Drosophila melanogaster: one gene and its partner. The protein of the gene in region 2 interacts with the protein of the main gene of each other region in a pairwise test. Each region holds a gene or a part of one and is shown on either strand. Other genes may lie near its edges.

Evidence for each region.
Region 1: the proteins of CG33169 (region 2) and cni interact in a two-hybrid assay, tested with the Drosophila melanogaster proteins (one large-scale study listed by BioGRID).

The regions. Positions count from the first base shown.
Region 1 is NT_033779.5:16,307,848-16,312,270, reverse strand, and holds cni (cornichon), read left to right. Parts: upstream 1-1,544; 5' UTR 1,545-1,580; exon of another isoform or gene 1,581-1,630; 5' UTR 1,631-1,680; coding exon 1,681-1,830; intron 1,831-1,891; coding exon 1,892-2,004; intron 2,005-2,127; coding exon 2,128-2,271; intron 2,272-2,340; coding exon 2,341-2,368; 3' UTR 2,369-2,979; downstream 2,980-4,423. Other genes in the region: fzy (fizzy), read right to left, coding at 1-390, 444-765, 859-1,170; Syx5 (syntaxin 5), read right to left, coding at 3,140-3,873, 3,942-4,423. UniProt on the Drosophila melanogaster protein: Acts as a cargo receptor necessary for the transportation of gurken (grk) to a transitional endoplasmic reticulum (tER) site and promotes its incorporation into coat protein complex II (COPII) vesicles.
Region 2 is NT_037436.4:22,861,036-22,865,709, forward strand, and holds CG33169 (uncharacterized protein), read left to right. Parts: upstream 1-2,828; 5' UTR 2,829-2,947; coding exon 2,948-3,124; 3' UTR 3,125-3,461; downstream 3,462-4,674. Other genes in the region: CG13239 (uncharacterized protein), read left to right, coding at 1-210; CG33170 (uncharacterized protein), read left to right, coding at 4,506-4,661.

The sequences.
Region 1 (4,423 bases), on a different chromosome or scaffold from region 2:
ACTTTAGGCCGCAAACCTCCTGCGTGTGTCCGGACAATGTGGAAAGCTTGTGCTCACGTGCACGCACATCGTGGTGGACAATGGTGCCATCCCGGCTGCCAGAGGAAACCAGGAATGAGTTCCAGGCCAAGGATCCCACTCGGGCACTGTGTCCATCCATCACTCGCAGACGCTTCACTTTGGAGCAGTCCCACAGCTCCACGGCACCGGTGCTGTTGCCGATGGCAAGTATCTGCCCCTCCTGGATCCACGATAGCGAGCCTGCGTAGTCGCCCTCCTCAAACTCCGTAAGCTGCTCGATATTTCCGGTCTGTGCGTTCCACAAATAGACGCAACTGCCCAAGGCCACAGCCACTATATTGTCGGCACTCCAATCCATAAGATTTAAATCTGGAAGAGATCAATAGTAGAAAAAAAGAAAAGAAAAGTTTTCTTCGACCTACAGTAATCGTTAATAAAATCAGGTGCATCCAGAATCCTCTCGGATGTGGTGGGTATATAGCGTGAGCCACTCTTTGTGGATATGGGTGTCTTAATGGAGTACACGACCTTCAGGGGATTGTTGTGTGTTTCTGGAGCAGCGGGAGCCTTGTTTTGGTAGCACAAAATGCGCCCGCCCTTGGAGTCACCGACCTGGGCCACTTCAGAGATGAGTTTCTGCCGGTCGCCCTTGTGAGCCGAAGCCTGGACATTGCTCTCGTTGCTGTTGCTCGAGGTGGCCTTGTCGTTCTCCTCATCGGACTTATCGCCGGAGTCTTTGTTCACCTAATAGATGGTCAGGTGGTCAATAAATTCTTAAGGGGTCTGGAATAAGGATGCCCTTACAGGGCGGGATGGAGGGATGAGTGGAATCCTTACCAGAAAGTGTGCTAACTCAAAGTTGGTAGCCGCCCGATTCGGAATAAAGCGATCTCCGCCTCCTGGCGTCTTAGAGGGCGTGGTGTTGGACTTCTTGGTCTTGCCCTCGCTGCTCTTGCCCGGAGTTTTCGTGGGCGCCTGGACACCCGAGAAACTGGTGTTGTACGAGACGGATAGCACCGACCGAGTGGTATTCACACTTCCATTTAGAGACGCCTCCAGCTTCTTCTTCCACCTGGGCGCAGGTCCGCGCGTCTCGCCGTCCATGATGAGAGCATTCTGCAAATCGCTCACAAAATTGAACTGCGACATTGTGTTCCGCTCTTTTCTGGTGTCAGTTGATTATCGAATTTATTTATTTATTATTATTAAAAAACAGAAGCTCATAGAACACTTGGATCGAATTTTTTCCAGATTTCGAGATGCAACACAAATGGCGGTTCGATTTGGAAATGTAGTGTGACCGCATCGGCTAACTGTTAGTGGTATTTTTTGTGCGTAGAGAAAATTACCAGAGAATTAAAATTAATACAAAACATTATAATTCGTTAGAAATTAAAATTGCTTCTTTAAATGAAATTATATTTGATTTATAATGGATAGCTGATTATTTATTAGCCTCATTTGCAATGTGACCGTACATCTGTGCTGCCTGATCGTTTAGATTAGTGCATCCCTGGCGCACAGCTGTCATCATCGCCGCCCTTGTAAAAAAAAAACAAGTGAGTCCCAGCGCTACAATTGCAAAGCCGAATTTTACGATAATAATTAGCAAGTCACTTTGATTAGCACCTGGAAGACGTGCTCCAGCGATTTTACAAGATGGCCTTCAACTTCACCGCCTTCACGTACATAGTGGCCCTGATCGGGGATGCATTCTTGATATTTTTCGCCATATTTCATGTCATTGCATTCGACGAACTTAAAACGGATTATAAGAACCCAATTGATCAGTGCAATAGCCTCAATCCGGTCAGTAAACTTACTGCTTACACCCGCAGTGCGCCCTGTAATGTATGTGTTTGCATTTCAGCTGGTTTTGCCCGAATACCTTCTGCACATCTTTCTGAACTTGCTCTTCTTGTTCTGCGGCGAATGGTTTTCGCTATGCATCAACATACCCCTCATAGCCTATCATATTTGGCGGTAAGTGACTCATTTGACCGTGTGATATAATGTGATTTGAGATCCGAGGAGATCAAGATTCACCCAAGCCCAACATAAGCACCCTTAAGCACTCATGCTTTGTAATACCCCTATCGCTTTCAGTTACAAAAACCGCCCTGTGATGTCGGGACCCGGACTTTATGATCCCACCACGGTCCTGAAAACCGATACTTTGTACCGGAACATGCGTGAGGGTTGGATTAAACTGGCCGTCTATCTGATTAGCTTCTTCTACTACATATACGGGTAAGTCTAATTGAGATTCATTGTGGCCAGGGTCCTCATTTGTCTAACGTTTCTAATTGCTAATTTTAGCATGGTTTATTCGCTCATCTCGACATAGGCAAGCTCTTGCCTGGGGATCTCAGTGTTGGCGCCAACGCATCAGCGTCGTGTATTAGTTGTCTAAACTCGGGTAGAGGACTTCCTTTTTTGGGGAAGAGTCCCCATCAACCGCGAACAATACTTCACTTGTAAATTCTAGTGTAAATCCATAAAGACATCTTGAAGCTTTGTTTTTTTCATACAATTTGTAATACTTTTCTGCAGTAAGAGATTGTAACATGTTTTTATTTTGATTATTTTTTGCATATCGCATCTTTGGTGTAGTTGGATTTTAAGCATTAAATAAAAGTCAAATCAATGTAACCAATTTTCATTTTTCTGTTTAGCATGAGGGACAGCGGAATTTTTGGCTAAACACGACGAACATGGAGCAACGAGCACTTAAGATAATAAAGATTATGAAAGGGCACTTAAACCTTATCAGCAGGGCAAACATAGATATAGTCTCTCTCCAATTTGATACTTGCATTACACGTTTTCTAAGGTAATATACAAGTTTCTTACATCAGCAAACATATTTATCATTCGGCTTTATATTTTGGAAATTATATTTAATTTTAGAGCTTCCATTAGAATGGAAAAATTCACCAAAGAACCACATGCTAAAATAAATGTATTTTGCTTTAGAACGTATTTATAACTTTATTTTACAATCGTTTCGGGAGGCCACAGCTTGGAATAAACAATATTGTGATTGAATCTTGATTAAAATAAAAAGCTGTATACATGGATAGGTACATGGGGCTTTTAATGGGCAACTGGCGTTTGATTACGACATAAAAACAACGAAGAACAAGAAGAAGAATATGAGAACGCCGAAGATTTTGATCATCAGCCAGCGATTTTTGGAGACGGATTGAAAGTATTTCAAGATCTCCCCATGGGCAGCCTCAATATTCAATTCCGCATCCGCCACATTCGTGTCAATACGCTCCACGATCTCTTCCTGCTCCTTAACCATATGTGCCAGCTGCTGGAATATTCCGCCGAGCTCAACGATGGTAGATTCTATATTTTGCATGGTCTCCGCCCGCTGCTGGACGTAATTATCGGAATCATCGTAGATGGCCATCTGTGTCTGGGTTGATAGGAGTGGTGTGGTATCGCTGCTCCCCATATCTATGCTGACCGCTTGGTTTTCCTCGCTGAGAAGCAAAGATCCCTGCTTGGCTGTCGAGGGGGAGACGGTGTGCGCGGCCAACGGACCTGGTCCCTGGCTAAACTGATCACGTCGCGTCTTCTGCTGCTTGAGGTTCTCCGTGCGCACCTCCAGGATTTGCTTGAAGTCCGTGCTCATGCTGGCCAGTTTCGATTGCAGGGCCAGTACCATGTTAGAGGAATGTGACACCAAATGCTTGCCGTTTGTGTGACGCCGCTGATCCTTGGAGATGTCCTGCAGTCGGGCAATTTGTTGATTTAAGGCATTTAGGTCGCCTTTGATGATATAGGTCAGCTCCTGAATCTCCTGCGGTCTGTCATCAAATAAGCTCTTCTTTTTGGCCACTAAAACGAAGATGGGAATTTTAAAGTTTTGAATATGACTTTAAGGGGTTACTAAAACATGTACTTACACATTGTGAGCTTCTCCAGTTTTGCGTAGGTGCTGGCTATGTTCTTGCCAATAAACCTGGCGACCATCATGAACTCCGAGTAGCTCTGAACCTGCTTAGCTTTGCGGGGATCGCGTATATTCACTGCCCGGGTGATATTTCGAGCCTGCAGGGAACGAATCGCATTGGCGAACTCGCCCGTTCGATCGCGTGCGGCCATGACGAATATTTCTGGTTCGGGTTCCGTTTCCTGCGGCTCCTCCTTCGATTGGTAAAACTGTGAACTAGTCGGAATGGAAGCGGGGTAGCTATAGTTGCTTTGGCTATCGTTATTGATGCCCGGTTGATTGCCGGTGACCACGGCGGCAGCGGCACTTAAAGTGCGCAGTGCGTGGCCCGAGAAGGCGCGTAGGTTCCACTGGCGGGCCGCCTTGCCGTACTTGTCGTCGGAGTAATCGGGAGTGGAAATGGAATCGCCCGACTGGTAGTTGTCTCCAATGTGG
Region 2 (4,674 bases):
GTGGAGGTGACGCAACCAAAGACAGTTTCTGTGCCACGCCTAGTTCCTGCTCCAGGGCCAGCATTACCGGTAACTCCCACCATCGCATACTATCCGGCCGAAGCCGTGGGATTCGTCCAGCCATCAACTTTCGCCAAGTTCATCGGTGGCCCACAGCAGGCTGCACCATATGTAGCTGCGTCGCAGTACTACCAAGCCTATTTTGGATAGACACGAACAGATACAGATACAGATAAAGATACAGAATACATTAAAAAAGGATTTATAACGTCTTAGTTAACTTATATAACTTTAATTGTTAAACCTGACCTGTTCCACACAGACAGTAATCCCATACATATGTCCAAACATACATATGTCCATCTGTCCGTATGAACGTCGACATATCTGAAATTATAAGAGCGATAAGATTCAGGTTGTTTCAGAGTAATAACAATAAATATACAATATACAATATACAATATACAATACAAGTGTTTCAATTTTTCTTTAATTGGTACATTTATCTTATCTCCCGTTGATATGTGTTTCTGTTGTATAACATAATTTACCATCCTGATCAAGAATGTTTTCGATCTAGTTTTTGTTATTCGCTCTAAAAAACTCCATTTGGGCCCAAATAAAATAGCTAACTGCTTACGAAAGAATCTGAATGCCCCTTATTGATGTTTTTCCCATTTCGTTACTTATATTTTGGTGTTCAAAATACAAGAATTACACAGTGATTAGTGATTACCTAGTGTTGGCAAATTCGAGAAATAAATGATCAATGATCAATGTCTAGTTCGAAATTCACATCAAATATATTGTGGTTTATTGAAGAAAACTTTCAACATATGAGTGGCTTAGAATGAGTACATTTGTTATTTGCGTAGCATGACAACCCTCGGCTATTTGTTAACAAATCCTACTCGTATCCTGAACATAGGCCAGATGGTTAGAAGTGCATTGCGTATTACATTTTAACTTCGATCCTAGCTTGTTTGTAAATTAAGAAGTGCTACCACTAAAATTACTTCTAAGTTGCCTGTGGTACTTGCGTTTAATTGTTCGTTTGATCATTCGAATAGTGCGATCGGAGGCCATTCGACGAAGCCATGCTCCATCAAAACGCCAAATCCTCCGAAGACAGCAATTCTGGCTGCTTGCCGTTTAGATAGAGGTGGCTCGGGGGGGGGGGGGGGGGCAGCTCTGACAATGAGTGAGCAACGATAATCTATTATGACCGTAACAAGAAATAAATCCCAACTCGGTAATCCATCATTTTACGAGTTGGCAATCAAAACAAGGGGTTTAGCTAAGAGTTGGTCTCCCGGCCCCAAGGACGGACAGGTGGACCGGGCTGACGGACGGCGGCCTGGCCAATCAGCGGACTGGCCATCACACATAGCTGGCCAGCGAGCTAACGAACAGGCCGTGTATGATGGTCGTGTAAGCGCTGGCCAGAACCAGGAAACTAAGATTGGACCTGGACGGGAACACGACTTTCGGACAGCCGCGTGCGCATTGAGGCCAATCTGTATGTAACGTGAGGACTCGCCCGGGCTGGCAGGTCTAGGCCTTTAGGGGCCGGCTAAATAGTTGCCAATAATCCGTGTCCAAACTGATCGGGTTGCCGTTTATGGTAATGGGCAAAATTAGATGCCGAAATGTGCGTTGGCTCGCCAGGCTTCATTACCAATGCACAAACTTGGCAGTGCGTCCCGACTGATTGGCCACTCGGCCACGGTTGCCGGCCAGCGGTCTGCATTGTTATTGCTTCATCAAGTGTGCAGCGGCCAGCTTATCCAGCACGTCCGGTGTCCACAATATCCATAGTGTCCAGCACTCGCGGCAGAAGCCCAAGCAGTGACTGCGTGGCATAGACCCGACCCCTGGGAGTATTGCGAACTGCTCAAACATTTTCGAAATCGCATTCAGAGGTGAAGGTGCAACAGTTGCTGGCGTATCTTGTTTCGACGGCCTCGGGTGCAGTTAAAGGGCTTAAAGGGGCGGCAGGCCAGTTAAAGAAAAATATGGGTTAGATTCTTCCGCAGCGCCATGCCAGCGGTCAATACAAAGCAAAATTGAAACGCGGTTCTCTCCGCCTCCGTTTAGTACCGCCTGAGGAAGAACAGAAGCTGTGCAGCATTGACAAAAACCAACCCAAAACCAATAGCTATAATAATGTATAAATATCATTTTTGAATAATAGAAAACTTTCAATTACTAGTAAAAGGTACTCTTTCGAATTTTCGATGCTTGGTATAAAAAAATACCTCTGAAGCAGATAGAAAAACATTCAAATATTTTGACTACGATTTACTTTTAATCTGACTAAATTCGAGTGAGATTTTATTCGTTGCAAGAATTTTGTAATATTTATTGTAATGTATCGTTGTTTCGTTATCTTTGGACAACGTCTATACTCACATATATGCATATACGTTTTTGACTTTCGCCTGCAGTCAAAAATTTATTCAGTCGGCTTTATTTTCTTTTAAACTATATTTATTTTATATTTTGTTTGGGTAAATAAAGTATTCACTATTGACTGGCAAGTGAATTTTGTACAACTTGCTACGACATTTTTATGTTCAGATGGAGGCAAATACAGCCCCAGGTTAATTGATGGCTTTCTAACTTATGAAATGCGTTATTTAATTATAAAGACTTTTTTAAACGCGCGCTTCCGTCCCAGAGACATTGTTCAACACTAGTCGGCCGGACGTGTCATCAGAGTAACCCGACCAGAAACTGCATGAAATAAGCAGCACTGTCGACAGTCAAAAGCTGCCTGCTTTTAGCCAGCCCAGTCGAACGTTTCTTCTTCTTCTTTGGCCCAGAAACAACTTGTTGAACGAAAGAAGGCCAGCTCTCTGTTTTGTTGCTCCACGCACACACATTCCGACGAGTGTTACACGTCACCAGATTAAAGGAACTATCGCAAAAACTATCAGTGATAAAGATGCGCCAGCTGAAGGGAAAGGTGAAGGAGACGCGCAAACAGAAGAAGGAGCGCAAGCTGGACAACCTGGAGACCCAGGCGAAGATCCGCACCGTGGTGCTGCCGGCGCTCGGCGTTTTGGCGGTCTTTCTGGTGCTGTTCGTCTACTTGAAGACCCGCCCCGCGGTCTTGGCCTAATGTAGTCATAAAATGTAGTTTATAGTCGTGGTCAGTGCAATTGAATCGTTGTAAAGACATATAGCCTTAATAGTACAATTAAATCACAGTTCGTCCATCCAAAAAGCATGTTTTACATAAAGTGGATTTTCCATGACACGAACAACACCCTGCTGTTCAAGTGCAGTTCCTGGGAATTTGAGATTTGGGGACAAAATGTATCCGAATTACGGTCGTTGGTGGTAGTGTTGAAAACCGTCTAGCGCTTTGGCGGTTGATTAAAAAAGGGCACTAGGAAACGGTAAAAACCGTAGCAGAGGCACTTCAATATGTAAATATGTGCATATGTATATTAGAGAAGGCGGCATCCACCAACATGTTTTATTTTTGGCCGTTTTGCGTTCAGTTTTTAATTGCGATTGCCCTTGTTTCAGTTTCACTTACGCCCGTCCACCGAGGAGCTCGTCGTCGGTGACCGCAAACTAATAATTGTTAATACATATGCATATGCATGTACATAAATTGAAGTAAAAGTTCAGTGCTCGAAAGGCAGTAACTTAACTCCATAGTTATCAGAGTCAGCCAAATACGATTACCTAACCATACAAACACAAATCGCAGTGGGCCAGTCAGCTGTTTTCAGATTCCGAGCAGCTGCAGACGAAGCGCCGAAGCAGCGTCGTTTGACGTTTCTTTTTCACATTCTCTCACTTTTGCTAAGACTCTCACGCTGGCGGCTGCGGGTGACAAAGGCTCCTTTAACTATTCCACTATGCTCAAGTTTCTGGTAAGTTTTCCGGTTTCCTGATGTTTTTAAGTTTATGATTCACACCTGAAATCATATCAGATACGAGATACAACTTTTCTGTGGTTTTTGTGGTTGTGTTGCTTTTCGCGGCGATGACGCGCCCCTGCACAGTGGTGAAATGTGTTGTCTAGGGGTTCAAAATCAAAACCAATTATTTGATTAAATATTAATGATTAATATAAATGACAAAATGTAATACATTTGAAAATACCTTCCCAATATCTAACTTCAACAAATAAAAAAATAGTATTAAAAGTTTAAGCAAAATTCAAAATATTCTTGCTCGGATAAAACAAGAGTGGATTGGTAAAACGGTAGAAAGTGCGCCAAAACACCAGTTAAATAGATTCCAAAATTGGTTCAATTTGAGTTTACTTCCCAGTGTGCGCTGTTTGAATACATACATAAGTGACTTTTGGTTCAACGTTATATAAGGCCTCACAAATTCAAATATCCACAAAAATAAAATAATCACCTAGTCGTTGGAAATTATGTCGACCATGACCGCTCAAGCCATGAGTAAACAGATTCGGACTCTTTGAAAAACAACACAGGCCTCACCAAATTGATCGTTTATATAGACTGGAAGTTAAAATGAAACTGCTTGGACTTGGGGCGCAGGTTTTGAGGCTCAAAACTGGCGGGCAGAGTCGCTCTGCGAAAACTTGCCCACCGGAAGTTCGCCAGCCATTGCCGTGCTGTCCCAAAAAACGCTTTTGGACTTTCAAGCGAGTAATATGTTTCTCGACGGTCAGCATGCGAA